Linked DNA regions of Rhinolophus ferrumequinum. The protein of the gene in region 1 binds, or shares a complex with, the protein of each later gene. Links are inferred from orthologs where the notes say so. Each region holds a gene or a part of one and is shown in the gene's direction. Other genes may lie near its edges.

Region 1 (10,494 bases):
CTACTAAAACTTCTGAACACTAATCTCCATCTCAGAGTCTACTTTCCAGGAACCCCGGTCTGTAAGAATAACTTAGATGTCCCAGGGTTTCAGGCAGACCAGACCCGAGAATTCAAACGTTGTCATCGTATTTGTCTCCAAACCTCTCTGTCTTTCCCCGGCTAGTAATCAGATTTCATTTGTGTTGACATAATTCTTATACAGCTTCTTAGCAGAAGGTAGTAGAGATTATGTATGGCAGCAGCAGGCACACATCATTGACAAAGAGAGAAAGCCTTCACCCTCTCTCCTCCAGAGTCCCCAACAACTCCCTCCGCATGCAAGTAACTCCAATTGGCCTTGGTAGGGTCAAGTGCCCACCCCTGGGACAATCAGTGTGTCCAGGGAGATGAAGTCTTTTTACCGGTCATCCTTAGGCAAGGAGAGTGGGGCCACATAACTCACAGAGGCATATAGAGTGGCAGCCTGGCAATTCCGGAAAGAACAGCGGAGATGAAAGGAACAGAAATCCAGTTTTCATCATCAGCGGGAACAAGTCTCATTGGGAATCTTAGTGTAGTAACACACCTCCGTTTCTTCAGCAATTTCACACACTTTTCTTGGAATAAATTAGGAGCCTAATTTTTCAGTTTGAGAAATCAAGAAGGAATTATACTCAGGATGCAAAGGAAATTTCCGGGAATTTCCTGGAGACTTGGGTCTGCTTTTCTCTTTTTTTCTCAGCCAAAAGTATTAGGATTTCAATCATATGCCTGAGGGTACTGGTCCTTACTGCCTCTTGGAAGTTGTGAGAACTTCCTTACGTTCACCACAGTCTAGCTTGACACTAACTGCTTAGGCGACAACAGAAGCCAAAGTGGCTGGGGAGATAAACTGTTGGCTAATGCATAGAGGCTCAATTTTCTTCACTCTTCATGTCCAGTCAATACCAGTCAACCAATACCTGTTGCTCCTTGATCAAACTCTCTGCCTGTCTTTCCAAGAGCAATGCACATTACAGTTTACTAGAACACTGTTCTCAGAAGGGAACATACTTGCCATAAAAGGAAGAGTTTACTCTTCATTGAAACTGATCTCTTTCACTCCAGCTGTGAGACTGATTTCGGTTCTCAAGACCCAAAAAATCTCTGCTCACCTCCTTGTGATGATTTGCATAAAGGAGAAAAAAAAGCAATAGGAGGGAATGGTTGATTACCCATGGAAGAAAGTCTTTTTTATAAATATTTTTTTCTCCAATTGTGGAGGTTGGGGAAGGGAATTGGAAAATGTTCAAGAAATAGGTTTATGTGAAACAAGGAATATGACTGCTTCGCATATGAGTATTCGTGGTCCCCTTCCCATTGCTTCTCCAGCAGAGCACAGGCATCAGGAAGTGGATAAAAACATGTGGGAGAGACTTGAAGATCTAGGTAGACTAAGGGAGGATGGACCAGTAGTCTGGGAAAGAGAAAAGGGGGAAGAAGTAGAAAGAAGACTTTGATAAACTTCAAAGAGCTCGATGGAGCAGTAGGCATTCCTATGGGAGAATTTGAGAGTGCCCTAGATAGAGCAGGTTTTGAAGGTGTTTTATCCCTCATTAGGCACCTATGCCTCACTTCTTCAATTACATGCGAAAATAAGTACAGGTCTGAATTACTTTTTGTATCAGTCAAAGTGCAGTCAGAAAAACAGAAAGCACCATATTTCAACAGAGGGAATTTCACACCAGGAATGTATTACATGGATGATGGGCAATCAGGGAATCCCACCATGGGTGTAGAGGCATCATCAGTATTCACACCTACAGAAAGTGGTTACAATCCTCAGAGGTGTGGAGAAACTGGGAGGTGGTGGTGTGACTAATACCAGGACCAAGCCAGGACCACCTGGAAGGAACTAGAACTACAGTGGCAGTGGCCAGCAGGAGCTCCTGCCACAGAGGGAAAGCCAGATTGGTGGGAGCTGGAGCCTCAGTGAAAATGCAGTCACTTCAGAGATGCCACTTGAAGCAGAAAGGCAGGGAAGAAACACTCTGGCTTCTTTCCTGCTCCTCATTCTCCGATTTGGTTGAACATACCAGAAACCAGAGTGGCCAAGGAGCCTGGCAAACATACTTCTCTCCAAAACAGAGCCGAGCAAGGGGAGGGTGGGGATTACATCTCAGAGCAGAGAGGCAAATAACTGTCACGTGTTTTGATTGTCTGTGTTTCTTTGAATTCATCTCTGCGTGGAATGGAACCATGAAGCCAATGGCCCTTTATGTGGGTTACATAAGGTCCAAGAACAATGGAGAAGGTCACCGTTGAGTATCTTTCTTTAAATACTAAAAAGAGAAAAATAATGTTACTTTACTAATCGTCATCATTCTGGAGGCTGTCACAAGTTGTTTATACACAACAACCAAAAGAATTCATGCCTCTCCTCTTTTTTCTTCTCTCATTCACTTCTGTTCCTCCAATTTCTTCTTTTACCTCTCTAGGGAATAACCCTTGTGCAATTAGTCAACTTTGATCTCATAGTGGGGTTGCCATCCTGCTCTCCTGTCCCTTTCATGTCCTGACGACTGACTAGTAGTCAGGGAAAAAAATGCTAAATCTGGCTTTTGGCATCTACCACACCTGACCTACCTTTGTTCTGACCCTGTTTCTGACCTTTGTTCCTAGCCTAGAGAATGCCATGTCTGCCTGGGAATGCTATAGTCATCCCAACATTTTAGTATATTGTTATATTTTTATTTCCTATACATATGGAGCCTTTGGAGTGATTTTGGATGGGGTGGGCACACTCAGGCTTTTTTGTTTCTGGTATCATGGTTAAAAGTATAGCCAAACTGCTTGGGTTTCAAATCCCAGCTCCACTATTTCCTAACTGCGTGACCTTGGCCAAGTACCTTAACTGCTCTGGGTCTCAGTTTCCTCATCTGTAAATGTAGTCATAATAATAGAACCTATGTTATACAGGTTGAATTGTTAGAATCAAATGAATTACATATACTGAATTTGTATATGTGTGTGTCATTGTGTGTACACACACGCATATATTTATCAACTCATATGCACATATATTTGTGTGTGCATATATATGTATACGTGTGTATGTACATACATACATACGTAGCTTAGAAAATTAGCACAACATAGACATTCTATAAATATTAACCATCACCATTGTTATTATTTTTCTCAACAAGGCTGAAAAAGCTGCTCTAGCCTATCAAAAAATATCACACCTACTTAATGTTTTTCACCCAGCATAAAGTCTTGTCTAGTTGGGTGACTTTTAAAAAATTTCTAGTTGATAAGTTAATTCACTTTATATTAATGTAATAAAATATGCTAATAAAAAAGACTGAGAACACATTTAAAAAGAAAGGATAACCACAACTTCAAGAAAACTTTAATTCACTGTGTAAAATACATCCCATGAATTACACTGTTACTTGTCACTCAGTTGTAAAAATTAGTTTCATTCATTTTTCACTATGTTCGGTTGTGATTGGATCATTACAGACCCTTTCTCTGTAGTTTGTGGTTTAAAGATTGAAATTTTTTATGAATATAAGCTTTTCAGTTGACCAATGATTAGAAATTTCCTGATAGTAGAAAAGGAAACAGATTGCCCCAAGGCGCTATTTTCATTTCCTCATGGGAGGAAGAAGCATAGCAGAGAAGAAAGGCAGACACAAGACACTGTACCTCTGCCACCATGGGGAACTGGGCTGTGAATGAGGGACTCTCCATCTTTGTCATTGTAAGTACCAATGAGAGATACATTATGAATCCTCTGACTTGTCTGGGTTCTTTTGGGAACTAAAATAGAAAAAAACTTTTTTGTTTGTTTGTTTTGTTTATTTGACAAATTGTGTTGAAACTGATTTACTGTGTGAACATGCATGCATTTGTAAGCAGACTGAGTCCATTCTTTCAAAGTTAGTATTGGAAAGAATGTAACTGGGGGCTCACTTCACCTAGTTTATTTTTTGAGTTTTTAGGAGTACTAAATTAGCCAGCATTTCACAGAGGGAGTAGAAGACATTTCATGATAATGATTCCTGAGTCTGAGTTGTTTATTAATATTTGCTCTGAGACAAATTTCTACTTTTTGTGTGTTTATACCACTTTAAAAATGGGCAATCAAAATTTTATGCCATTTTCCAAGGAATAAGTACAAGACTGGTTCATGTGCGGGAAATTGGCCTTTATTTCAGTAATTACACCAAAAATAATTGAACTTCTCAACTGTGGTTTTTTTTTTTTAAGTATCTTCTTTTCTCTGAGGTAATTTGAGTTATTTGTAAAGTTTATAAAAAAATCAAGGGAAGGGAATTGAAATTAGATATCTAGACTCATATACAGTATATATATTATATGTGATTATATATATAAATCAATATAATATATCTTGAGAAATAATTTTTGTAAGTAAAGATATGGCTAATTTTCAAATAAACACATTAGTTTATTTAGTTTTTAACATAACAAATATCAACTATTATTTTATGATGGTGGTCTCAGCAAAGCAATCATGGATAATTGGGAAGATAGAAATGTGATTTATAACTATCCTTTTCAAATATCCAATGAAAGCATTATACAGAGGTTAAACAGAACTCTTATAAAAGGAACTTTTGAAAGAATTAATCATGAAGTAAATATTCAGTCTTTGAGTTTTCGAGATACAGAGAAATTAGTGGCACAAACATAATTAAAGCAACAAATATTTTGTCATGTAAAAAAATTATGCCAAAGCAACATTTAAATGCAATATAGAATTCTTCTGAGGAGTCAGAACTATTAACTTGATTTCTTATCACCATTTGAAGAACAGATAACTCCTGTAGAAAACAAGTTCAAATTATACTTTTAGATCCTACCACAATTTTCCCCAGGAAATGACCTTCTAATTACATACTCATATATTCAATTCAAAATGAAGGCACCACTTGAAAAGCAAGAGTAAAAAAGACAAGATTAGGAAACAGACAAGTTGTTTTAGTGCCTTCTTTTTAAAGAGAGACTGTTCTCAAGTGTCTATGGACATTTAGTGCTTCAACACATAGTTAAGAAAAAAGATCACTATGGAGCTGAACGTAGAGGACTGGGCAGTATCATCGATTGATGCAGTCAGTGCTTCAGATGAAACAAGCAATTAAAAAAAATCCTATGACTTTCACCCCCTCATTCATGCTCAATATCCCCTCCTTCAAAAGTTAAGCAAAAGTTATCAAATACAATTAAAGGCTTGACTGTTTAGCTGATGAGACCCCCACTAGCTGGGTGGGATGCTGTGTGTGTGGTGGAGGAAGTTTATCGGCACCTGTGAGAGTAGAACACAGTGTCCTACTGGAGCAAGGGACAACATAGCAACGTGTTCCATTCCCTTGTCTTTTTAGAAAGAGTCACCTACTATCGTCTCTCTATCTAAGGTTAGAAAGAAAAGAGGAGGAGAAAGAAAGGAGGGAAATTAGACTGATAATAACTCAGCATACTGACCAACTGGTAAAACAATAATGGGGAACAACATGGGGTGGAAAGGTTAATAACAAGGAAATATAACAATGCTGCCTGGGAAAGAGCTGGCTCTAAAATGGTTATAACCAGTTTTGTAAGCACCCGTATCAAAGGCTGGAGTTGGGAAACTCCTGACCCTGGTCTGACACCAACATTGTGTGAAATGTACCTGTTTAAATGTGAAAACTTCATGCAACTGTTTCTCTTTGTGCAGCTGGTATGGCTGGGGTTGAACGTCTTCCTCTTTGTCTGGTACTACAAGGTTTATGATGATCCACCGAAATTCTTTTACACTCGAAAACTTCTTGGGGTAAGTATAAGTTCCATGTCATGCAATATTGACTAGCTCACATTTTTTAATCAAAAATTCACGTTCATATTCCTTTTAACATTTTCAATAAATATTCTGACCAACCTGAACAGCACCATCAGCCTCACTCCCTCCATTACAACCCCTTGGGGAGGAGTCTTTAGGCTTTCCAGTGTGGGACAAACAAAAGTGTGGCAGAGGGTCACAGCAACATCCCTCTCTTCCCAAAAACCACTGGAGAAACGTTTAGCTTAGAGGAGGCATCTAATAATAGCTCTGGAATGGAAGACTAGGTTGAAGAGATCCATCCAGGGGTAACACAGGTGGGACAAGTGGGACTTTCCATATTCTGTAAATCATCTGATTCCTACCACTTTTGTGCATGGAGAGCCCCGCTCCTAGTGACATGTTATGAAATGATCTTCAGGAAATTCCAGTTTCATTGAACTGCCAGGTCTCTTCTTCTTCATTACAGATGAAAATAATTTCATCTGTCCCTTGAAGATATTGTTTACTACCTCATGCTGAAACCGTGAATTCATTACTGAATAAATCTAATTATAATATGTATTATACATCATATGTATAAATAATTAGATCATCATACTACATTATTATGGTTGTTGTTAACTTATTCAGGTTGATGCTGAGAAGGATGATTTCCTTTTGCTTTCCCTCTCCAATATATACAACTTCTTTGGGTATTTTAAAGAACAATTACAACTCCAAAGCATTACACCATACCAACTTAAGTTACTGTTGAGGTTAGTCTAAGTGCTAAGAAAAGCTTTAAAAAGCCCCAGTTTCTATACTGAACTCCAGTTAATGATATGCATGCTTAAGTATTTAGGAGGAAGTGAACTGATATCTGCAATTTACTTTGAAAAGCATCAAAACTAAGATGTGTTGATGGAGGGATGGGTAGATAGATGGATAGATATGTGATAAAGCAAGCGTAGTAAAATGTAAAAGATGGAATCTGGGAAATGGGTAAACAGGTATTCATTGTGAAATGATTTCAAATTCTCTTTATGTTTGAAAATGTTCATAATAAAATGTTGGGGTGGGGGGTAAGGGCCAGATTAAAACAAAGGGTACCAGCAGGCCCTAAAAGTAAACCTTTGGCTCAGAAGACCCTTCCTTTCCAGATAACTTGATGTCTCTTGATATGTAGGCTGCATGTTGGGAACTCTGGGGAATTGGGGGAAGTGTTCTGTGCTTACAGGTGTCACCCTACTCCCTCTCCTGCCTCTTCTAGTCAGCACTGGCGTTGGCCAGGGCCCCTGCAGCCTGCCTGAATTTCAACTGCATGCTGATCCTGCTGCCCGTCTGTCGAAATCTGCTCTCCTTCCTCAGGGGTTCCAGTGCGGTAAGGGCAAACATTTACAATGTTTGAGTTCCTCAAAATTTCAAGGCCATTAAGCTAAATGCCCTTTCCTAAGAAAAGGAAACCAATGGTTTGTGAAGATTCTAACCTCTGTAGAATGTTCATGAGCTAAGCCATGCCTGATCTATAGTTTATTTCTATATTATTTGTTGATGGAGCTTCCTGGGACAACCATTTAACCTGGAACAGACATTCAAACAACAAACAACCACCAATCAACTTCTACCTCAATAAAAGCAATAAAGCACGTGTGTGTATGCACACACACAGACATATATAACATAAAGTATAGGTATATGTATATACAAAGGGCTTTATGAAGCTGATGTGAAATTTGGGAATTAATCTTACACTATCATGTTTCTCAAAATTTTTAAGTCAGAAAAAAATCTCTTTTGTGGATCATATCCCAAGCAGATGGAATCAATGGGCGATGAGTCACACCATAATGAATGCAATTAAGAGGTGTTGGGTCTGGGGAACTGAGAGATTCAGAGCTTTCTAAATGCCCAGGACTTCTTTCACCTTCACTTCAGCAATTTCATGAGTTTCTGAATGTACTATGCTAGAAGAAAAAGATTATGAGATTATGTAGGAAGAACTTCTGTAATCTATAAAGTGGTATACAAATTTCTTACAGATATTAATATACAAAGATGAGAAACAAGGAACTTAGAGTCTACACACGTACTCAAATAAATGGGTCCCATAAAACGTTACAAATAAGGAGCTACAGGGAATCAAAGGAGGGGGAAATTACATCAGGTGGGGCAAGAGGTGAAGAAAGGCTTCTTGGAGAAGATGGCATCAAACATGGGCATATAAAGATAAAATAAGCCTCTAGGAGATGTAAATGAGAGAGAAAGACTTTCTACCTGGAGAAAATGGCATGGGCAAAAAAAAAGCACAGGAAATGGTGAGGGAGTCGTATTCTTAAAAGCCCTGCGTAAACATGACTTCTGGCTTCTCTTTGGACTTTTTTTTCTTTTTTCTTTTTTTTTTTTTTTTGCCATTCCTGACCACACCTAAGGGGGTAGATCTTCCAAAGTTAAGGATTGACGCCCTGGTGGGACCCATTCCACTGGCTTATTAGTGACTAGTAGCCTCTGTTTTTTTCTTTTAATAAATGTTTTTTATATTAACTAACTTAAAAAAAAAACCCTATGAATTAGAGATCATTTCTAGAGGAGAGCAGCAAACAATCTACTTTGATGAGAATATAGGGACTGTAAAAAGGGCAGATGTCTGGGGTAAGGGTGGAGAGGAAGCTGGGACTTTACTGGTAAACTAGGACTTCGAATGTATAGCTGAGGAGTTGATACCTAATTTGGCAATCACAGAATATTTTGGGGGAAGGAAAGTGGTCTAAACTGTCAATAACAAGTAGAATTTACCTTGAACTCTGCCTCATTTTTCTTAGTCATACTAAATTCACATTGATCCCAAGGAAAATTTGTTTTTTCTTTAAGAACTATACAGCATTCAATTTACTAATACAGGATTAGCAGGCTACAACTAACAGTAGACATTGATTATAAGGATTTCCAGATAATCTCCTCAACCTAAGAAACCACAGAGGTCAAATTCCATTTGCTTGAACGTTTTATTGATGAGCCATCTATAAAGTACAATGTTTGGTATACAGTAGGTACACAGTGAACATTTGCTAAATGAAGTTCATGCACTATAGCTTTTTGTTTTTAAGGAGTCACGATTCATTTTTATTCTCCCTCCCTGTTCGAATAGCGTGTTTTTAGAGGAAGTAAGCCCTGACAAACAGGCAGTGTTTTCACCAGGATGGCCCGTTAGGAAATCCTGTTACCCCACAAGCCCAATTGCACTGCCGTTGAGCTGCATGCCCCATGAGCAGTGCATGCTGTAATGGCCACTTTTAGACTTCCTGTGGTCCAGGAGGGAAAATCCTCATGAGTGTTTCTAAAGATAGGGATGAAATGAGGCTGCTCTTCAAATTGCAGAGAGGGTCAGCTCTGTAACCACAGAGACCTATATAGAAAAGAATGTATTTTTTTTAATTAGCAGCAAGCAACAGTCTTTGACACATAGCATGTGTCCCTCCTTCCGAATTTCCTAGCCTCAAATGTGAACTTAGCAAATGAAACTTATTTTCTGATTGGGATGAAAATTAGTGAGCGTGTTGTGACTCATGTCGGAAATCATAGTAGCTGCTACTTACTGAGTCTTCATAGACCTCACCTCATGAAATCTGTGTCTCAAGCTAGTGAAGTAAGGATGAAATTAAATGGGAGTGTTAGGATTCAAACCTAGGTCATCGTGCCCCTGGACTCCATTTACTTTCCTACATGCCACATAAACTCAAAACTGTCCTATTCCGGTGTTATGGTCTTAGAAAGTCCATTATATGTGTGAATGTTTGAACATGCTGAATAACCCAGGCTGGAAATGGCAATGATGTTGTAACTTCAAGGATTCATTAGTAGGAGCCTATGTAAACTAAACAGTCACAAAACTTCCATTCAGTTTCCAGTGGTTTTAATCATTTAGACTTCACTTTATAATCCTTCTGGTTACCTAGAGAAAGAAAACCACAGGGTTGACCCACCCCAGGAAAGATAAGGGTAAAGACTCAGCCTGCTGTGTTGAGGGAAATGGGGAAGGATGAGGCCCAACTTGCCATGCAGAAACTAAGTTCTAACAGGACGGAAGTTCTAGTCTTAAAATCTGAAAGAAACGGGAAGGTGAGAGAGTGAGCTCTTATCTGTAACCTTATATAGTCTGAGAATCGGCTGCCCTCATGGTGGCTCTCTCTAATCATGTGGTCTAGGGCAAGTCTCTTGGACTTCCTGTCTCACAGTTCTTTTTATTTATTTATTTATTTATTTATTTTTAGCTGAAAAGCAAGTGAGTTAACGCAAATGTAAGAATGAATATGACATTCTGACATTAGTTGATTAAGCCTGTCAACTAAGTGAGGTCAACAAATATTTATTGAGTGCCAGCTATGTGCTAAGCACTGGGGATACATGGTGAGTACGTGTAAAACATGGAGTAAAAAAACATGGATGGACCATGAGCTCAAGAAGCTTAGAGTTTTATGAAGGAGATAGAGAATAAACATGTAATTTCACAATTATAAACAATGCTATACAAATAAAGTAGCGTTCTTCACATTTATCACAGATTCTACTGCTACGAGGTCTGGGCATTACTGGAAGCTTCTTCCCCGGAGTTCTGTAGTTTCAAGGCTGGCTTTTGCAATTCCTCCCGAATAGCATATAAATATCTAACTCAGATTCACTCACGATATGTGTGATGAGACCAGGTGTACC
Region 2 (10,494 bases), on another chromosome or scaffold:
AGGCGGGGCCGGGGCGGCCCTGGAAACCCGTGGAGTGGGCTTGACGCAGTGAGCTCAGTAACACCATGTCGTATCCCAGCACACGCTTGGCTGTGACAAAGCTTCACAGAACCTGCTTTACACCCCTGTGTGCAGGGCGCTGACAGTTTCCGTTTCACTGTTTCATTTTGGTTGCCTGACCCACTAAGGGATCGCAGCCCAAACTCTAAAGCACTGGTGTGGGGGACTGCCTCCCCGCCACATCCTTAGTTGGCGGGCAGAGGTGCCACCACTCCACTCGCGGTTGGCCCTGTGGGCACTGTGGGAGCTCCCGGGTCTCCATGGCAGATGAGAGGGCCTGAGAGGGGTGGAGCCACTGTTCAGGCGATGATGTTGACTGCTTGGGTTCCAGGTGGCGTACACGTTTGACGCGGGCCCCAATGCCGTGATCTTTACCCTGGACGACACTGTGGCCGAGTTTGTGGCCGCTGTGAGGCACAGCTTCCCCCCTGAGTCAAATGGAGACAAGTGAGTTGTGGGTCCCCCCATTTGGGAGGCCTTGGAGGGAGGAGCAGGGTCTCCTGCTGAGCTCGGGACAGCTGCACCTAAGGCTGCTGCTGAATGGGGAGTCCCGCAGGGGACCACAGGCTGTGTGTCACTAGTATGCCTTGCTGTGACCATGGACTCGTCTTCCTCATACACCCCAGCCCCGTGGTCACAGAGACGGGCACATGCAGCGTCATGGCTCCTATGTGGACAGTACTCAGGGCCCCACTATGGGGACGGAGCATTTGGATTTCTTCCTACCCGTTGTTTTAATGGTCCTTTCTCAGTGTGGGGACACCTTCCTGTAGGGGTGTTGGAAGCGTGCGGGGTCATTTTCTCTGTCTCCGTAATTGGGGTAGTACTGACGTCTAGTGAGTGGGAGGCCGGAATACTAACTTCCTTACCAAGTAGAACAGACCACACTACCATGATGGCCCCCGAGGCCGCTGGTGCCCTCGTTGGAAGCTCTGCTCTCATTGGCCTTGTCACCGCAGTGAGTAGTGTGCAGCTTTTCCTGTTCTGAGGAACATGGTAATGGACTCTTGCTTGACCTGAGGCATTTTCTTCTTAAGTTGTGTTACCCTACTGGGTGGAGCAGTAACCCCAGGCCAGGGATGAACTTAAAACCTCCGGGAGGTTTCTGGAAACCCTCCTCTTCACAGTGACCCCAGCCAGGTCCTTGGTTATTCCTGCTTAGTTTTTTTGTGTGTGCGGTAAAGCACACATACACATAAAGTTGATGATTTTAACCACTTTAAAGTGTACACTTCAGCAGGATTAAGTACATTCAGTGTTTTGCAACTAGCATTTCTATCTGGCTCCAGAATTTTGTGACTCCACGGCAGTCACACCCCTTCCTGTCTCTTGGGTCTGCGTGTCCTACGTTCTTCCCATCAGTGGACTCACAGCACACTCATGCCTTCCTTTCCCCAGGTTTCTGAAAGGGCTGCCCGTGAGGCCTGCCCTGCTCTCAGACGAGCTTAAAGCTGCGCTGGACATGGAACCCACCCCTGGCGGCATCAGATACATCATTGCTACTCAGGTGAGGCCTGGCACCAGCCCTCAGCCCCAGGGCCCAGGGGTCCCTGCGGCCCAGCACACCTGGGGAGGGCCCCATCCGGCACACAGGCCTTGAGGACTCAGACCTGGCACGTCTACCCGGTGAAGGGACTCCCCTTCAGCCCCACTTCATCTGGGCTGGGTAGCCAGGTTGCTAAGAATAACAGCAAAAGGAGGAGGAGTACCACACTTCTGTTTTCAAGGCATCTGGTCCACTATGGTTTGTTTCACTCACTCGCTCTCAGCAGGAACATTTTAAGACATGCTGTGAGGTTTGGGGCAGCATTCCCAGTGCTGAGGGGGGCAGGTGAGGCTGGGAATGTAAGACTCCAGGAGACAGGTGCGACGGGTCCAAGGACCCTCAGGGCTCGCCCACTGGAACCAGATCTGGGTCCCTGCTCAGAGTGGCCGAGCCGGGATTTCACTCAGATCGTCGATTCCAAGTCCCCATGCCCTCAGGTGCCCAGGCCCCGGTCTCTACCTTTCATTGAGTCTGGGTGATAGAGGCCGAGAGACCATGTAGCTCTGTCTGAGGAAGTTGGGCACAGGGCCAGGGTGTCACCACACGGGTGGTCAGCTTCTGACCTGCCCTTACCTGGGAGTTGGGGGGTATACCTGTCCCTCCCTGTCATCCCAACCTGACACTGATTTCTCTACCTGCCAGGTGGGGCCCGGGCCTCAAATCCTGGATGATCCTCTCGCTCACCTCCTGGGCCCCGATGGCCTGCCAAAGCCAGCTGCTTGACCAGTTTCTCGACAGGAGCCTTGGCCGCTGCTTGGAGAAGGGCCGCTTTGCTGGGAGAAGGGGCCACTTTCCACTTTGCTGGGACTGGGGAGCTGCTTGTGGCGGTGCCTGTACTATGCTTTTTGGGGCTGGTGGGTGGCCACCTCGCCCCAGGCCAGGCAGTATGCCGGGGCTGAATAGGGGCAGTGGAGTGACCACTTGCAGGCGCCAGGTGGTCAGGAACGGGCCCCCCACCAAGTGCCTCACCTTCCCCACCTGCACCAATACTGTGCTGAGATGAGGGCTGGGGTCAGATGTGGGACCTGGGGGACCGAGCTGATGGTGGTGAGCTGCTGGTGTGTCTCCCTGAAGGATCTCTGGCCCTGAGCCCTGGAGCCACTCGCACTGACTGAAACAGGAGCTGGGCCACCGGAGATGATGGGGAGTTGGCATCCCTCTGTGGAGCTGGAGGACCAGTCACTGCAGGGAGCTGCCTCTGCAGGCTCCAGAGCCCTCCATAAAGTGCTTTGAACATGACAGTTGTCCCAGCTCCTCTGCCAGAGCTCAGGCCACTGGGTGTGGACGTAACGTTTCTTCATAAAAAGACCAGGAGTTGTCTCCAATGGGAGGTGGGAGAGCAGCACCATGGTGCGTTGTCACAGGGAGCCCTGTCAACAGACCACGGAGAATAAAGCCAGCGTTGCTGATTGGGCCTGGCGTGCTTCTGTCTAAGCAGTGTTGCTGTGTAGGCCGTGGGCAGCGCTCAGCGGGAGGGGTGGGGAGGGTGCGGGCTGCGAGCCTCCTGCAGGAGCAGAGAACTTAGAACTCGCGCATTTGCTAACTTGCTCCTGAAGAAGCTGCCTTCTCCCAAGGTCCCCTCATTGCCCAGCCCTGTGGTGGGTGTTCAGCACACAGCCACCCCCCAGGGCCACAAGCCACACTCAGTGGCTATGGCTCTGACAGGCCTGGGGACATGGTTTGGGCCGGCTTTAAGCTCCCAGTCCATGAAAGAAAGTGGGAAGCAGCTTTGCAGGGAGGAGCACTGATTCAGGAGGGTTCCCCTCAGCCCAGAAGCTTATGGGTTCTGGAGCCCAGGAATTGCTTGCACTTCTAAATGGGTTTTTCCATTGTGTGCAGGTCATCGACCTCCTCTCCACTTTCCCAGCTTCAGCACAGTTGGCTTAGAGGAAGAGGAGAGTGGACATGTACACCTATTGACCTACCTCCTGGTTTCCTGCCTCTCCCCCGGAGAGTCAGCTGCTACCGCTGCTGGGTGGGCAGAGGAGGGAGATGACAAAGGGACAGGGCCAGCACTCTGACATTCTGGGTTTTCCCAGGAGCTTTGTACACCCTGTTTCCTTCCCCTAAGTTAGTCCTGTGGACAGGGCTGCTCACCATACTTGCACTAGCCCAGGGCCAGATGAGGAAGTAGGCGCTGGGCCTGCCACTGACCTTCCTATTGGGCACTGACTTCCAGGGAGGGGTTCCCCAGGCTCTGACTCCTGGTCTGAGGTCCTTCTCCCTTGAGGGGAGTTCCCCCGACCCCGCAGTGGGCATGGTGAAATCGCTGGACCTTTAAACCCTTCTGGGAACCTGGCCTGCTCACTGTCCTCTGTAAGCACCTAAGAGAGCCCAGCATTATGAGGGCACTTTGCCTTCTGAGGCAGGTGTCCATCTCATTGGTCCCCTCTCTGCCTATGTCCAAGACCCCCAAGCGATGCTCAGGATGTCCCAGGTTGACCAGGCTGGGAGCTGACAGGAGAGGTGCCTGGCACCAAGTGGGTGGGGGCCGCTGTTTGCCCCGGGGAAGTGAGGCAGGGGGCCCCTCCGACCCTCAAGCAAAAATTCTGTTGTGCGGGGCAGACCTCCGGAGCACCGCCATAGCCTCGGGCCCCTGCTGTCCAGGCCCGTCACTTGGGAGCGGGACCGGAACTCGGGGCGGGGCGGGGCTGCACCCGAGGAACTAGGGGACAGGGTGGGGGTGGAGCCGGAACTTCGGGCTGGGAGGTGGCTGGCGCGCGGGGCTCAGTGTCCCAGCGGAGCCAAGCCGAACCGCGCTGCGGGTCGCCATGGGGCAGATCGAGTGGGCCATGTGGGCTAACGAGCAGGCGCTGGCGTCGGGCCTGAGTGAGTGAGCCCGGGCTTGGCCCGCGGGGCGGGCCGGCAACGCCGAGACCCCGGGCTGCAGGCCGAGGGACCGGGTGGGCCGGCCACGGGGCCGGGGAGCCAGGGTCCTGACGAGTCAGAGACTCGGCTGCGGGCCGCGAGGCGGGAGCTGAAGCCTGGGGGTGAGGGTCCCCAAGACTTATGCGGAAACCTGCAGCTGCGTGGCGGGGAAGTGGGCCTGGGGCTGCCCGGCAGTGGGAGACCTCGGGCTAGGGAGGCGGTCTGGAGACCCTCCTGTCCCCGCAGATACCCGCGCCCCCGTCCCCTCCCCCTTTCCACTGTCCCCTTTTCACCCCCTCCACCCCACCAGGACCTCACACCACCGATAGAGGAAGTTGCAGCCCTAGGGGAAGAGGCCTTCACCCCGGGTGCTTTCCGGGGAGTTACCACCCTCCAGGATTGGGGAAACCTGGCAGGACCACCCGCTCCTGCTGTTCCTCCTGCCCTGGAGTGGGGCTTCACCCCAGGGGTCGCGACGGGCTCCCTCCCCCGCCCTGAGCCTTCACAGGACATCTAAAACAGCCCAGAGGGACCTCTCCCAGCCCAACTATCAGAGACTGCTTCTGGGGAAGGATGGCAGGCCTCCTCAGTCACGCTGAGCCTGTGTTCAGGAGCTCTGGTGAAAACACAGTGGGGTCTGCACCCCTGTGCTGTACTTGGAAGTGGAACCTCTCAGGGATGGTGAGACTGGGCCCAGGCAGAGTCTGAGGCAAGAGGAAGCTGCCCAGAGGTTCTGCCCGCCTCTGGGGACCTGCCACTTCCAGGAAGGACCTGCACCCAGTGGGAATGAGTGGGTGGAAAGACAGTAGGGAATGTAGTGATGAGGAGGGTCCTAGCCCACCAGCATTCCCCTGGGACCCACCCTGAGGCCCCTCTGCCAGGGGGACAGGAGTCTGGTGAAGCTCTGGGAGGGAAGGGAGCAGATGTAAATGAAGTCTCTCTCGCCGCTGAACTGTAAGATCACGTTTTTGTAAGATCACGTTTTGGGGTGAGCAGTTTTGGGTCATGAAGCCCAATGGTCTGTTCAGGCAGGTCACCCCCTTGAGTTTGGCGTCTAGGGTGAGAAGTCAACGAGTGAGAAGTCAGTGAGTTAGATAGTTGTCACTTTTTTTTTTTTTTTAAAGATTTTATTGGGGAAGGGGAACAGTGTGTACTTCCAGGACTTTTCCAAGTCAGGTTGTTGTCCTTTCTTAGTTATGGAGGGCGCAGCTCAGCTCCAGGTCCAGTTGCCGTTGTTAGTTGCAGGGGGCTCAGCCCACCATCCCTTGTGGGAGTTGAGGAGTCGAACTGGCAACTTTGTGGTTGAGAGGACGCGCTCCAACCAATTGAGCCCTCTGGCCACCCGGGAGCTGAGCGGCAGCTCATTGACTTCATTCTAGTTGTGGAGGGTACAGCTCGCTGGCCCATGTGGGAATTGAACTGGCAGCCCCATTGCCCAGAGCTGGCACTCTAACCAACTGAGCCACCCGTCCGCCCCAGTTCTCCTCACTTCTCCCCAGAGTTGTCCCCAAGCTGTTCCCCTGTCTGCCACAGGTCATGAGACCTTAAACAGCTGCAGACCAGCCTCCCTTCCTCTTACAGCTCCTCAACCCCCAGGAAGTAAAAGGCGACAGAGGGCACCAAACTGGGAGCTCTCTGAGATGCATGGGTTTGAGTCCCCTTGGGTGCAGCACCCCCAGCACCCCCGTTCATGGCATGCCCACTGTGTGCTGGCTGAACCTTCCTTGCCTTAGCTAATGTCCTTAGGGTCTGAGGCTGGAGCTGTTCCTGCATCTACTTTACAGACAGTGAAATCAAACCTAGAGAACGTACAAGCTGCAGCTCAGTTTCCTCCATCACCAAATGAGGCAGTTTATTGGAAGGTCTTCTAGGGCCATTCCTGCTCTGAGTTCCTCCTCTTGCTGACTTTTTTTCCTGATTCAGTATAAATTGCAGCCACCTGAGACTGCTCAGGCCTGGCTGGACCCTGCTAGCAGCTGCCTCCAACAGGCTTCTTTTTTTTTTTCTCATATGTTGAGCTTCTTTTTTTTTTCATATGTTGAGCCGTTCTTTGAGCCGTTCTTTTTTATTTATTTATTTATTTTTAACAGGACTTTATTGGGGAACAGTGTGTACTTCCAGGACTTTTTTCCCAAGTCAAGTTGTCCCTTCAGTCTTAGTTGTGGAGAGCGCAGCTCAGCTCCAGGTCCAGTTGCCGTTGCTAGTTGCAGGGGGCGCAGCACACCATCCCTTGTGGGAGTAGAACCGGCAACCTTGTGGTTGAGAGGACAGGCTCCAACCAACTGGGCCATCCGGGAGCTCAGCGGCAGCTCAGCTCAAGGTGCTGTGTTCAATCCCAGCTGCATGGGGTGGAGCCCACCATCCCTTGTGGGATTCGAGGAGCTGAACTGGCAGCCTTGTGGTTGAGAGCCCACTGGCCCATGTGGGAATCGAACTGGCAGCCTTCGGAGTTAGGAACACGGAGCTCCAACCGCCTGAGCTACCGGGCCGGCCCAACAGGCTTCTTTCTTATTGTAGAAAATTCCATCTAATCAGATCATGTCCCCTCCTGCTGAAAACCCTCCAGTGGGTCCAATTGCGAAGAATAAAAGCCAGATTCTTACTGCTCTGTCCCTGTCCCCCTGCCTTCTCTGTCATTCCAACTGCACAGGCCTCCTCTCTGTTCCCAGATTTCCTAGGCATACCCCAGGACCTTTGCATAAGCGGTTTCTTCTGTCTGAAGCATCCATGGCTGGCTCCGCCATTCATTTCTCAGTTCAAATGTCACCTGCTTAGAAAAGTCTTTCCAGAGCACCTAGACATCTCTGTCACAGTCTCTTGTTCTAGTTCACCATCTCTGATGTTTATTTCTGTCCCCTCCTGAGACTATAAGCCCCACGAGAACTGAGGCCTTATCTGTCCTGCTCCTGCTTCGTCCCTACATTCACTTACAACACCCAAGAGAGTTAATACATAGCTGAGCTCAACTCCAAGGGTGGGGAATAATGCTGGCAACAGAAGCGGAGTGAGGTTTCTAGGTGGTCGGTTGGGGCAGAAGGAAGGGGTACCTAGGGAATTGGGACCAACAAATGCTCGGGGTTTTACCCAGTGGGATTTTGGAGCCTCTGTGTGAAAAAGGGCTGAAACTAAGCAGCATGCCTCAGTCTAGAGCCAGGAAAGGCTACTTGTACAAGACACAGACTAGAAAACTGTCCCCCCCAAGGAAGCAGCCATCCGCTGCCAGGGCCTGGATGAAAAAAGCAACAAACAAGGCAAAACCCCTGGAAGCTCAGGCTTGTGCTACCGTGTTTCCCCGAAAATAAGACCTAGCTAGACAATCAGCTCTAATGCGTCTTTTGGAGCAAAAATTAATATAAGACCAGATCTTATTTTACTATAATATAAGACCAGGTCTTATATTAAATTATATTATATTATACTATATTATAGTATATTATATATATTATATTATATTATATTATATTATATTATATTATATTATATTATATTCCCGGTCTTATTATATAAGAACCGGTCTTATTTTACTATAAGACCGGTTACTATAAGTCTTATAGGTCTTTACTATAAGACCTTATTTTAAAATAAGATCGGTTCTTATATTAATTTTTGCTCCAAAAGACACATTAGAGCTGATTGTCCGGCTAGGTCTTATTTTCGGGGAAACATGGTATGCATGGGGTGAAGGCTGAATCTACTCTACCCTGTGCTACAAGGACCACTGACCAAGAAATTCAGATAGACTCCATTCAGGACTGGAGAAACCTATAGAAGCAAATGTGAAACTGTTCTGTAAGGGCATTTCCTCAACCAGGACACAAGTCTGCCACAAGAAAACAGATCCTGCTGGGCACAGCTCACAAACATACCCACCGTTTGAGGAAGCAGGCACCATTAAACAGGAAAGTGTGCCTCCTTCAAACCACAACTACTAGTGCCCTTTGGGAGAGACTTAAGAATACGTGTACCTGTTTAAATAGATGGTTATGTTCAAGGGGAGAAAGGAGTAGAAAATTATAGAGGACAATGCAAATAATGACTAATATAGAATGTCTAGAAATAAAAAATATAAAGTCATTAACGGTTAATGGATGAATTAAACACTATCTATAGATGACAAGAACATTATTAAAGTGGAAGATGAATCTAAGAAAATCTCACAGAATGTAGCTGAAAGAAGTTGAGTCGGACAATAGTACAGGAAGACCCAACATATATATATATATTGGGGGTTCCGGAGAAGAGAATCAATAGACTGGAGGGAGGCAATGTGAAAGGGATAATGAACATTTCCAAAATTGAAGGAGAAAAGAAAGTTCCTTATAAAATAAAGGAAAATAAATCCCTTCTTGGACACATTGTAATAAAATTACAGACCATTAAAGAAAATCTTCATTTTTTGTTTTTTAAAGAAATTTCGAGGGTCAGAAGCTTTTACTTATTTTTTAAATTTTGGGGGGGAATATTGGGGAACAGTGTTTCTCCAGGGCCCATCAACTCCAAGTCGTCCTTCAATCTAGTTGTGGAGGGCGCAGCTCAGCTCCAAGTCCAGTCGCCGTTTTCAGTCTTTAGTTACAGGGGGCACAGCCCACCATCCCATGTGGGAATGGAATCCACAACCTTGTTGTTCAGAGCTCACACTCTAACCAACTGAGCCATCCGGCCGCCCTGAAAATCTTCAAATTTACCAGAGGGAAAAATGGATTAGTTTAAGACTGATTTCAGACTTCTTATCATCAATAATAGATGCCAGAAGACAATGGAATATTATCCTTGGTGCTCAGACAAAAACATGAATTTAATATCCAGATGAGCTATCATTCAGAATGAGAGTATTTTCAGATATCCAGAGAGTTGCTGCTAACATACCCTCATCAAAAGGACGACTAAATGATGTACTTCAGGAAGAGGGAAATTGGATCTTGAATCCAGAAGAAAGGATGGGATGCTAGAATGAAGATATTGGTGACTATTGACTGTAAATAATTAATAATAATGAGTAATTTGGGGATGAGATTGAAGTTAAACATTCTACATGTGGTTCAGAAAGAGGAATTTTAAAATTAAAGTTTGATCAAGTCAGCAGGAGGCAGGAGAAGCAACAAAAGCACTTGTTAAAGAGAAAACACAAAACAAGATAAAATAAGTTACAGTTATCTGCAATCACAGTCCATAAAATCTGTTAAGTACACTATCAGATTGGTCAAAAATTCAGCTATATCAGCTTATTCGTAATAGCCCAAAACTGGAAGCAACTGACATTTCCCCAAGATGGAAGAATGGATAAATTCATACAATAGAAACAACTCTATAAGAAAAAGTGATCCACCCAAACACGGCATGAATGACCTTGACAGCCTTCCATTAAGCAAAGGAAGCCAGATCTAGGGTTCCAGTCTTGACTGGATAGGGGCACAAGAGAATTTCGGGGATTATAGGAATCTTGACTTGGGTACACATGTAAAAAGGCATCAGGCTTATGCCTGTATATTTTACTGTGTGTAATAATTATACCTCAATAAATTGCTGGAAATTCTGGGGATGGCTGGTGGTGATGGTTGCACAACAGTGTGAATGTACTTAATGCCACTCAACTGTTAATTTTAAAATGGCTAAAATGGAAAATTTTATGTTATATATATTTTACCACAAACAAAAATTGCAAAAAAAAAATTACTGGGGAGAAAAGATCCAGATGTATGTCACTTACAGCAAGAACACACAGAGCTGAAAATAAAGGGTTGCAATAGCTGACAAATACTAACCAAAGAAAGGTGTAGGAATATCGGTATCAGACAAAACTAAAATGAAGGTGAAACACAGGAATAGGGACAAACAGGAACACCATGCAATGAGGGGAGAGCTTCCATGAAGCAGATACAAAATCTACAGTCAACAATATAGTCTTTAAATGCCTAAAGCAAGAACAAAATCACAAGCGGTCACAGAGCTCAAGAGTGAGTGTTCAGGGCGGCCGGATGGCTCAGTTGGTTAGAGCGTGAGCTCTGAGCAACAGGGTTGCC
Region 3 (10,494 bases), on another chromosome or scaffold:
AGCATGCTTGTTAGAGTTAAGAGTAAGAAAAGCAACTTGTGTGTGTCTTTATCAAACACCAGGCGTCCTCAGGAATCCCAGAAACTTTGCAGTCACAGAGATCAACACAAAATATGTGAGGGTATTCCAGGTCCCAGAAACCTAACCAGGGTCTTTTAATTTTTTACCCATTAATTTTTTTTTTATTTACAGAATTTTTGGTTAATACAGCTTTTTACAAATTGAATTCAGGTATTAACTGGCTGCCAGATTAACGTTCTGCATTGTTCAAATCCATGTCAGCACTGCTCAGAAAACACCTTCCTTCAATTTTCAGCACAAGAGGGTAAGTTTAGGTTATCATTGTACATATTTTTGTTAATGATTTTGAAACAAACAATACTATTATCATGTGTGAAAAAAGCAAATTACACTTACTTAATTTAATCAAAAATATAGTGTCCAGGTTTCCCCAATCAAATTCTTTTTTTTAGTTTAAATTGGGATCTAAACAAGGTCCAATATGTTCTAATAGTCTATATTACAATTTGTTTTTGTATTTCTTAAGTCTCTCTTTTTTTAAAAAAAAAGTCGTTTTGTTCTGAAATAACTTGAGGATCACTTAGAAGGTGCAGATAGTACAGAGAAATCTGTGTCTTAAGTCTGTATCTTTGTTTTGTTTTACATGTGTAGGTTCCATTCAAGAAATCAGATTGTTCACCTAGGGTTTCTTGCAATTACTGACTGCATCCTCCTGGAGTCCTTTAGTATACCTTTGCCCTCTGAATTTACAGTAAAGGGTAATTGGAACGTTCTAGTGGCTTGATCCTAGGTTAAATTTTTTTTTTTTTTTTTTGGCAAGACTACTTCATAGATGCCAGTTGTGTAATTCCATGAGGAGTTTCTACTTTTTGTGATGTTAATTACCAGCCATTGATGAAATTGCCTAGCTCGATTAATCCACCCACCCATCCATCCATTAGGGTGATATTTAAATCCTACCATTTGTTCTTCATTTATTAGAGGGAATACTTCTATAATGAGAAATTCTTCTCCACTGTTTGGTTTCTCCGTTGTAAAGTTTATAAAGAAAGGCAGGATAAATGCTTGATTCTTTTCCTTCATTAACTGGTCAAAAAGACCAAGTTTGTTTCTCATCATCTTTCAAAAGTGAACAAAAAAATTCCATTATGATGAATGATGTACTTAAATACATGAGTATTTTCAATTCATTCTAATTATGCTTATTGTTGCTCAAATACTTATCTTTTTTCAGCAATGAGAATCTCTTCAGTTAGGCTCTGAAGTTCTTCTAATAAGACACTAATAGTCTCTCTGCTTTTTGATACATTTCCTTGTTCATTTTTTGCTTCAGATCCGAAATCAGTCTTTTCTCCAAGAACCAAGAAGAAAAGGTCTTCTTCCTGCAGTGTCTATCCATCACCCTCTATTGACAAAGCTTAACATCACACTAGAGAGCACCAAAAAATAAAAATAAAATAAAAAATCAAGGGCTCAGATCCATTTTCACAGAGCAGGCAATGAAGTCTGGAATTTAGACCTGAGATATAATGCGTTGATAATTGGCACAGTATACAGATTTTATTCACTCAGTTCCCCCACTTAGGGACATTGTATTTACTTCCAGTCTTTTGCCATTACCAATATTCAGCAGGATTTTAACCAAATCAGGTATTATTTGTTCACTCATTTAATATTTGCAGAACGCTAGCGTAGCCTTCATCTTTAAATGGTTTATAACCTAGTAGGAAACATGAAATTATACAAATAACTGTAATGCAAAGTAGAATTTTATGGGTATCAACTCAGTTCTACCTAAATTCAGAGAAGTAAGATCACTTCCAGCTGCAGCAAACAGTAAAGACTTAAGGAGTTACCAACAATTTAAATGGACCTTCAAGATGATGTAGAATCTTAACAGAGGGAGGGCCGTTTCAACAAAGCAGAATGTGAGCTGAGAGAACCTACCGTGTTCAGGCAGAGCCCAGTATTGCTGCAGCTTACAGCAGAGGTTCTCAAGGTGTGATTCCTGGACCAGAAGTATCAGCAACATCTAAGTTTACAGGTCCCACCCACTTCTGGGAATAGGGCCCAGCAGTCTGTATTTCAACAAGCCCACCAGGTGATTCTGAGGCACGTTTAGGGTTAGGAACCACAGGCAGAGAGTATCCGAAGTCGACTGGTAAAGGAGAAAAGTTGTCTCCAAAATTTTTATCGTGTCCGTATATTGGTAAAACTGCTAGGATTATACATACTGATGTATGTATATTTTTTATGAGGCAATATTATACACTATTGTATTAAACTATGTAAATTACAAAACATGTAAAAATAGATATTGAAAGAAAAATAAATAGGAACGCAAGCTCTAGTATCTTCTTCCAGTATCTCACAGATCTTGCTCATCCCACTTTGGAGACCACTGAAGTAGGCCATGGCTGTGCGGTGGAGGCTCTCCTGTTCCAGGTAGGGTCCGTTTCCTTCATCTGGTTGGAAATAGTAAAGGCAACTTTTAAACAATTTTTACCATAAATTTGCACACATCTGTTGTTAGATTAACTTTAAATGCTTCATATTTTCCTGGCCATTTTAAACGGCGTTTTTAGGTATAAATGACAGACCTTCTAAGGGTTCAGTTACCCCAGACGTTCTCAGGACAGGGAGGGGGCCTCCACAACCCGCGGCCGCCACTGCACAGACCACTTGCTCTCTGATTGCATTTGCTGGCTCCACTTGCTCTGCAACAAAGCCAGGGCTGTTCCGGGATCATTTTTCACTCTACCACGTTGGGGTGGTTAAATGGGAGGCCGGAAGTCAGGGTCGCCCCCAATCCCAAAGTCAGCGCTGTCGCATCCCCTTTCCTACATTCCCTCCGCTGGAGTCCAACCACTCGGAGGATACGCCGTCCTCACGACTGCTGAACCAGCACCACACCCAGCTCCTATTCCAGGAGTCTGCGGTCCCGCCCCAAACCGGAAGTCAGCGTCGCCCCGCCCCACAAGTCCGGAAGTCACCGCCGTCCCTCCCCACCCTGCGGGTGCGGAAGTCAGACGACCCGCCTCCAACCCCGGAAGTCAGCCCTCACCCTGCCCCGCGGGTCCGGAAGTCAGTCGGCCCGCCCCCAACCCTGGAAGTCAGCGGACCCAGGCCTCCCCTGCTGCGTCCGCCGGTCTGCGTTTTCGGTAGGCGACTGGCAGTGGTCGCCATCGCGGTGGGCATTGGGGGTTGCAGATCCCGTTCTCGGGACTGCGGGCTCGGGACGCATCCGCGTCGGCCGGTGAGGCCGCGGCCGGGGGGCTGCAGGGGTTGGGCGGCAGGCTGGCGGCCCTCGCTCAGGCCAGTGACCTTGCTGCGCGGGCAGCCCAGACGCGCGTGGAGACAGATGAATGACGTAAGCGAGGGAGCCCAGTGATGTGCCAAGATGCAGGATTCTTGTGTGAGAACTAAATCCGCTAATTTGATTTCACTTTGCAGAGAATATCTGGGCAGCGACTCAGAGCCGGGTCCCGGGGGCCAGCGTCTTGACTGTACTGGTCTGCAGGGTGAGTGCAAGGTCAGCTCCCTTGGGGGACTCACTGCTGCAGCCCATGCTTTTAGACCTGCGGGCCCCGACTGTGCAGGCTGTTGTCTCAGCAGCTGGAGGAGACCCTGGAGCAGGCTTTTTGTGTCCATGCCAGAACAGACTCAAACCATGAGGAGACTTGCAGTTCCCCTTTTTGGCGGAGGCCAGCACAGGAAAATGAGGGAATTCTGCTGGGCTCTGGTACAGTGCCGGCAGCTTGAAGGCTGCAGCGGGCTAACGGTTTCTGAGACTGACGTTTCCAGTCCCAGGTCATGGGGCAGGTAATGATCGAGTGCTTGATGACGGTTTGCAAGTCTGAGCAGGAAGTAGCCCAGTGCAGTCAGTATAACTCAGTAGAGAAGGGCCTAACTTACAGAGAACCAGTCCCTGGGGGATTAAGTGATGTGCTTGGTGGCCACAGAGACTGCGGTCAGCACAAGCTGACTGGTTACCCAGGCTGTACTGGCCTTGCTGGTGGGCCAGCCCCGGCTTCCTGCCCTGGTGAGCCAGACGCTTGTCAGTGGGCAGTGACTGCAGGGGTCCAGCTGTCTGTGTCTGCCCTCCCCAGCTCCTGGTCTCCTGTTGAGAGTGGTGCCCACACGGTCCAGGGATGTACATGCAGGTGGAGACGCGTACCAGCTCCTGCCTTCATTTGAAGAGGGCTCCGGGCATCAGATCCTGGTCTCTGCTAGTTGGTGAGGATTTCCATATTTTCCCCCAAATAAAAAAACCTGCCTTTAAAGAAGGATGAAAATTAAACGGAATTTTTTCCCTTGTTTTACTATCGCAAAATATAGTAACTATTTTACTTTGTATTCTTGCAAATTTTATCTTATGTGCATAGATGTTATAGATGATGTATGTCTATCGTCTTTTTCACCACCTAACATCCTTCCGTTAACGCTGTGTGCTCTTCTGAGGTCCCTATACCCATGTTTCCTGTTTCACTTGCTTCCATACACCTGGTCGCAGGTGTCTGTGATTTATGTCACAGGCCCACGTGATGGGCGACAGTGCGTCCGTTTTTCCTCTTCCTCAGTGAGGAGTAAGTGGGGGAGGCTGCCCTGGCCTCCATCTCCGCCACTCAATCGGAGGGTCCTGCACCTGCCAGGCAGCTGCATTGTGTGGACTGGACTGGAGGTGTGAGGAGAGGCTGCTGTGCCTTCAGTAGCCTGTCTCTGGTCTTTCTCTCCCATGACCCTGCATGTGACCTCCTGCCTGTTTCTCGTGTTGTGATTCTTTGCTACCCTCCTGTCTTCATTCCACACCACGTGGGTAAAACCCACCTCAGGCCCCTGTCTTGTTCCCCAGTCAGCTCTGGAGGCTCGCATGGACGGACATGTCCAGTGAATACTATGAACAGCATATGCCATGTTTCTGAATGAACTTCCTGGCTGTTCCCCCACTTCTGAATCTGGTGGTCTTCTCTGCCCTGCTCCCCGCCCACAGCCATTGTTGACAGTGGGGAGGAGGTGGGCTCTCGCTGGTGGGGGCCCAATAGGAAGGCACCCGCTTTCTCTTCGCAGGAATATTGTCGATTGGCCTGGCTGCTGCCTACTACAGTGCAGGTGAGATGCACCATCTGCCCCCCAGGAACTTCCTCAGCTCTTCAGAAAATAGAAAAGGCAAGCCCATGGCTTGTGATCCAAGGCCTAGCTTCGGCAGCCCTCACCGCCGCCCCCTGGTGGTCCATGGGCACTGCACCACCTTGGTGCACTACCCCGTGCACGGGTCTTCTTCCTAATGCCCACGTCCCTTGCAGCCTGCGCCGTTAACTTCTTACATCTCGGGCATTTTCTTGTGTCAAAAATTATCCTTCGAAAAGGCGCTCTCTTGAATCTGCTTAGGGTTCTATTGCAGGGACGCACCATGCCGTCAGCCACTCCCCATGAGTGTCCCCACTTCTCCATCATCACAAACCATGCCATGACCGGCAAGATCCGACCACTTGAGTAAACACCCAGACCCAGAAGAGCTGAGGGAAGAGCCGCTGGGATGTGTCCCACATGGTCCTGAGTGACAGGCAGGGCCAGCAAGGCCAGGCAGCTGCCCTGGGTGGGGACCCCCAGATGCCACCCCTGCCCTGTCTGGGAAAGCAGCTGTGCTGGGGGGTACCCTGTGGGCAGATTGGCCTCTGCCCCTCTACTGCCATCCTCCCTCACTGGCTGTGCCCTGTGATTACCCTCCAGATAGTCTGGGCTGGAAGCTCTTCTATGTCACGGGCTGCCTGTTCGTGGCCGTACAGAACCTGGAGGAGTGGGAGGTAAGGCCGGCACCGGTTTCAGCTCGGGTTTGCTGCAGTGAGACTCTGCAGGCAGGCAGGTCCAGGCCTGGTGCCCCATCCTGAGACGCTAGCGCAGGGGTTTCTGGTTAGCTGGGCTCAGCCCCTGGGTGTTGGCTGTCCGTGACTTCCTGGGCCAAGGAATCGTCTGAAGCTATTTTTCTCCTCGAAGCTCTTCATGACTGTTTTACCCACTTTCCTCCTGAGTGTTGTAGCACGGAATGAAACGAGGTGCCAGCCTGCTGCCTTGGAGGCCAGTCCCCTCCTCCTTACTCCCTTCCTGAGTCCTTTGAGCTGCCTGGCCCCCATTCCCTTGTTTGATGATCTTGGCCATTCTACTTTTGCTGGCAAAAAGGAGAGAGCACCTGCCTTGGTGTCCCGCTCTCTTTACCCCCGGCCTGCTGTGCTCCCTGAACTGTCTGGAGTCCTAGGGTCAGGCTGCAGGTGTTTGGCTTTGGCAGGGCAGCACTTGGGGCATCAGGGTTACTGGGATGGGAAGGAAAAGGGGTGCCCCCTTCTTCAGTGCCTGCTCTGGCGAGGGTGGGACAGTCAGCGAGCTCAGGCCCCCTCCCTGGAGGTTGGTGTGCAGTCGGCTCATGACAGAGGTCAGCAGCCGGGTGACGACCCTTCTGGGGGTTTTCCAGGAAGCTGTCTTTGACAAGAGCACTGGGAAGGTCGTGCTGAAGACGTTTAGCTTGTATAAGAAGCTGCTGACTCTTTCCAGAGTCGGCCATGACCAAGGTTTGTGGGGATCAAAAGGGACACTGGGTACTGCGAGCTGGATGGAGGGCAGCGAACGTGTGTGATGGCTGGGACCGGGCCGGAGGCCTGGAAACACTTGGTGAACGGGGTTGTGGACCACCTCACAGACATGGGGTGCCCCTAGATGCACCCTGGCCTGAAGGCTATTGCCAGGCGGCCCCCAGCTCGTTGACCAGACACTAGGGTCCAGGAAAGCATTTACAGCAGTTGGGGAAAGGAAGCAGCAAGACAGGCAGTATCGTGCTGAACTGCCCCCTGATGTGTCAGACTGCTCATGAGATGACAGGCAGGCTTCTCAAGGCCACGATGGGTCCAGCAAACATTCCTTCTCACCCAGAGGACATTAACCGGCAGCGGTGTGGCCCTGCACTGGTCACTGACCTGTGACATCCCAGGTCAGCGTCTCGGCTGTGTTCTGAGGCTGGAACTCAGACAGTGACCAGCGCTTTCTGCAGAGTAGCCAGCATGATGCGGTCCTCTGCAGAGGCCCCTGAAGTGACCATGCCCAGCACATGGGGGGGTGCTGCTGCTGCCATGCACCTGACCTGTCCCCACCGCAGTGGTGGTCCTGTTGAATGACATCCGGGACGTGAACGTGGAGGAAGAGAAGGTGCGGTACTTTGGGAAAGGCTACGTGGTGATGCTGCGCTTTGCGACGGGCTTCTCCCACCCCCTCACCCAGAGCGCTGTCATGGGCCACCGCAGGTAAGCCGAGGCGGCCAGTGTGATGGGCCAGGGCTGCTCAGCTGGGTCACCCTGTCGGGTGGTCCTCACAACAGACCATGCAGTACCGTGGGGCAGCCCAGTGGGGCACGGGGAGAGGCGGCTGGGGACAGGCCTGCCATCACCGCTAGGGGGTGTCGGGGGTCACCACAGGGACAGCAGGGGATAGGGATGCCAGGGTTCCCCATGATGACGGGACAGGGGATGGGGGCCTCAGGGGTCCCTACAGGACAAGGGCTAGGCTGGGGTCAGGTGAGGGTAGGGGCCAGGACGGAAGGTGCTGGGTCCTGGTGGGGAGCCCTGGTGGTGCTGGCACTTCTTAGTGTGGCAACCAGCCCTTCTTCTCGGTGCTGGCCCGGCCCAGTGACGTGGAAGCCATCGCCATGCTCATTGCCACCTTCCTGGAGCTGCACCGCCTTGAGAGTCCCATGGAGCTGTCTCAGAGCAGCGACAGCGAGGCCGACGGCCCTGAGAGCCAGAGCTGACCCCCCTGGAGCCCCTGGCCTTGGTTCTGACAGCACTTCGGCAGGCCTGATGGGCCACCTGCCCATCTCCCTCCTCACCCGACTGAGTCCCTGGCAGCCCCAGGGAGGCATTCTGCTGCTTGATCTGCCCTCTGAGCAAAACCACAGCTGGACCTTCTCTGCAGCCTCCAACGGGTGCAGGAAGGGCATAGGCCTCCTGGAAACACAGTGCCTGAACAGTGTCGGTGTGACAGGGCTGGGGCCAGCATTCCTGCCGAGATGGAGCACTGGAGTGGGGAGGTTTGCCAGCTCACGTCCCACGGGGATCCAGCGCGCAGGTTACAGTGGTGCTTCAGCAGGCCAGCGTGGGGCCAGCGGCTGGGTCAGGCTCTGCAGACACGGAGGCCAGCGTGTTCCTGGGATCCCAGCGTCTTCTCCGACCGGCCCCACACAGCATCCTTCTCCTGTCCAGACGTCCCCAGTAGTCACAAGTGCTTGCCTGTGGACACTGTGGGGCTCTTCTGGTTGCTGCAAACCGCTCTGTACCAAGGTGGCTCATCTCGTATCCAAGCAGGACTACAGCTGGGCTATCACGGGGAGCAGCCCCTCCCTCCCCTCAGCCCAGGCCAAGGCTACTTGGCAAGAAAAGAGGTTATCTTGTCCAGCGTCATGCATTCAAACCAGGACCTCGCCCTTAGAAATCAGAGTCCCAGCTTCTCTCAACCCTGGGAAGACCTGGCAGTTGGGCTTGTTGGTATGTGGCAGGAAGTGGGCTGTGCCCATGCAAGCTGGACCCCGAGAGAAGAAGCTTCAAAGCTGCATCTGGGAACTGCCGGGGAGAGCTCAGGAAACCGGGGATCGCCCAAATCAGGGCTGCAGCTGTCTGGGGGACAGTAAGGACAGCAGTTGCTGGCATCTTCTCTTCTCGGCAGCCAGCCCTTAGTTTGGGAACAGTCATTTAAAGCTGCCCACTTAGGTTTTTCAATGGCCAAATCTGAAATGCTTTTTCCCTAAAATAAAGAGTGAAATGCTGTACTTGGGTTCTGGTACGTTCGTGTGGAGGGCTGAGAGATGCCCTGAGGAGGGGTAGGGGTCGGCCTGCCAACCCCACGCTCACCTGGGCTGGCTTGTTTTGGACCCTGTGCTGGGGCCGCTGCAAAGGCCTGACTGCCACCAGCCTGAGCCAGCGGCATAATGAGGTTGGCCAATTCCTTCAGCGTGACTTGGAGCTTCTACTTTCCTTTTTATTTCAAAAGCATTAACGTTCTCTGCCAGACCAGTGAACGGGGCCCCACGTGCATTTCCTTCCGTGTTTTCCACCTTCCTCTCCCCACGATAACCACGTGCACCGTAGGCGCCGTCTCTGCACGGCCATCCAGGACTCAGGAATCAAGCCCAACGTGGTTGGACAAGGGTGTGGCAGGCCCCCTCCGCTCAGGGGTCCTGACCTGTGTCCGGACCCGGGCTGGCCAGGGGGGGCCCGGGGCCAGCCGCCTCGCCGAGGTCCTGCAGCAGCTGCTGCAGCTGCTGCAGACTGGGCTGCACGTTCTCCTCTAGCCACTCCTCCACAGCGTCAGGGTAGAAGACGCGACGCAGGGCGGCCTCCAGCTCCCCAGCAAGGGCGCTCCACCTGCCCAGGAGACTGAGGGCCCAGACAGCAGTGAGCCTGCCCGAGGACAACCCTCGGCACAGCTCACGGCCTCCACAACCCCCATGTCGGTCTGGTCCTGTGCCTCAGTTTACCCATCCATAAAATGGGGTAGTCGGCATTGCTGGGAATCAATGAGTGACTGTCACATTTAACACCTGAACCCGAAACGTACTGTATGTACGACTGGCTGGCAGGGCTTTTCTTGGTGCCCACACCTGTCACACACCTGTCATTGGTGAACAGCTGCGGGGACAGTGTGTTGGCCTCAGCACTGAGCTGTGAGCCAGGAGAGCCCAGGGAGGCTGGCTGGCAGGGACCCTGTGTCCGCTGTGCTGGGTAGACCTCAGCATTTGGCTGGTTGGGCCGGATGAGCCTGGAGCCAGCCCAAGTCATTCTGGTGCCCCCACCGTCTCAGGCTAGGAATGGCCTAGCCTCTCTAAGGTTTAAGGGCACGGCCAATTCAGTGAAGTTGAGTCACCTGGGGGGTCCACGGCTGTGAAACCCAGAAAGCTTGTCAGAGCTAGTCGCCACAGAAAACTGCCACCACGCAACAGAGGATGGCAGCCCTGGGGGTGGGTGCCGCGGGGGTGGGGGCTACCTGAGGGCCTGGGGCTGGATGTGCTGGATCATGACTGGGTGGACGAGCTTCCGCCTGCGATGGTAGGAGCTGAACCAGCCGGTCACGTACCTGGGGGCAAGTCCACACACGCAGGTGGGCCCCACGCAGGGGCCGGGGGTAAGGCAGCCTCAGCATGGTACTTCACGGTCTACTAGAAATTCTGAAAAGCTGCTTCCCCCCTAGAAAGTCTTGGTGCAGGATGGGCCACCCTCGCCCTGGCGGGTGTGGGGTGTGGGGCGGGGACTCGCTCCCCTGCCCACCCACCTGTTCCTGTGGAGCATCTCGTCCACGGAGCTGCGTAGGTGGAGGCCAACTTGCGTGACGAGGGCCAGGATGTCGCTGCCAGGGAAGGAGGCAGCCCCCTCACTGCACAGAGAACCAAGGTGCTGAGACGAGGTGAGGGGGTTGGGGGGCGGGACAGAGGGTGGGGAT

The links.
Region 2: the proteins of cytochrome b-245 heavy chain (region 1) and cytochrome b-245 light chain are in contact, whole or in part, in a cryo-EM structure (PDB 8X2L), measured with the Homo sapiens proteins. The link is inferred for Rhinolophus ferrumequinum from reciprocal best matches to the Homo sapiens genes CYBB and CYBA. Residues at the interface, in NP_000388.2 of Homo sapiens: Thr116, Ile117, Leu120, Phe121, Val123, Glu124, Asn128, Asn133, Lys161, Asn162, Pro163, Gly166, Leu167, Ala170, Val180, Thr183, Leu184, Ile187, Leu188, Thr191, Ser192, Thr194, Lys195, Thr196, Ile197, Arg199, Ser200, Tyr201, Glu203, Val204; in NP_000092.2 of Homo sapiens: Gln3, Ile4, Glu5, Trp6, Met8, Trp9, Glu12, Gln13, Ala16, Ile20, Thr23, Val27, Gly31, Phe33, Thr34, Gln35, Arg56, Arg59, Met65, Gly102, Phe103, Leu104, Leu105, Ala106, Ile108, Leu109, Ala112, Cys113, Ile116.
Region 3: the proteins of cytochrome b-245 heavy chain (region 1) and cytochrome b-245 chaperone 1 are in contact, whole or in part, in a cryo-EM structure (PDB 8KEI), measured with the Homo sapiens proteins. The link is inferred for Rhinolophus ferrumequinum from reciprocal best matches to the Homo sapiens genes CYBB and CYBC1. Residues at the interface, in NP_000388.2 of Homo sapiens: Trp28, Asn74, Leu75, Leu76, Ser77, Phe78, Leu79, Arg80, Gly81, Ser82, Ser83, Ala84, Cys85, Cys86, Trp206, His210, Phe212, Pro266, Met268, Trp270, Lys271, Ile273, Tyr280, Tyr324, Phe326, Lys328, Leu335, Glu336, Trp337, His338; in NP_001028218.1 of Homo sapiens: Arg22, Leu26, Ala37, Ser41, Gly42, Asp43, Trp47, Phe50, Tyr51, Phe57, Gln61, Asn62, Glu64, Lys77, His97, Asp98, Gln99, Val100, Val101, Val102, Leu103, Arg108, Ser111, Glu115, Val117, Arg118, Tyr119, Phe120, Arg129, Ala131.

Annotation. Positions count from the first base shown.
Region 1 is NC_046284.1:95,742,761-95,753,254, reverse strand, and holds the start of cytochrome b-245 heavy chain, read left to right. Parts: upstream 1-3,583; 5' UTR 3,584-3,684; coding exon 3,685-3,729; intron 3,730-5,703; coding exon 5,704-5,799; intron 5,800-7,057; coding exon 7,058-7,168; intron 7,169-10,494. UniProt on the Homo sapiens protein: Catalytic subunit of the phagocyte NADPH oxidase complex that mediates the transfer of electrons from cytosolic NADPH to O2 to produce the superoxide anion (O2(-)).
Region 2 is NC_046298.1:33,291,383-33,301,876, reverse strand, and holds the start of cytochrome b-245 light chain, read left to right. Parts: upstream 1-4,295; 5' UTR 4,296-4,377; coding exon 4,378-4,435; intron 4,436-10,494. Other genes in the region: MVD (diphosphomevalonate decarboxylase), read left to right, coding at 392-507, 1,459-1,567, 2,249-2,329. UniProt on the Homo sapiens protein: Subunit of NADPH oxidase complexes that is required for the NADPH oxidase activity that generates, in various cell types, superoxide from molecular oxygen utilizing NADPH as an electron donor.
Region 3 is NC_046304.1:55,074,228-55,084,721, reverse strand, and holds cytochrome b-245 chaperone 1, read left to right. Parts: upstream 1-3,182; intron 3,183-3,474; coding exon of another isoform or gene 3,475-3,553; intron 3,554-4,130; coding exon of another isoform or gene 4,131-4,148; 5' UTR 4,149-4,172; coding exon 4,173-4,257; exon of another isoform or gene 4,258-4,258; intron 4,259-5,088; coding exon 5,089-5,130; intron 5,131-5,751; coding exon 5,752-5,825; intron 5,826-6,487; coding exon 6,488-6,584; intron 6,585-7,165; coding exon 7,166-7,310; intron 7,311-7,692; coding exon 7,693-7,813; 3' UTR 7,814-8,827; downstream 8,828-10,494. Other genes in the region: HEXD (hexosaminidase D), read right to left, coding at 9,227-9,458, 10,042-10,131, 10,327-10,428. UniProt on the Homo sapiens protein: Functions as a chaperone necessary for a stable expression of the CYBA and CYBB subunits of the cytochrome b-245 heterodimer. Controls the phagocyte respiratory burst and is essential for innate immunity.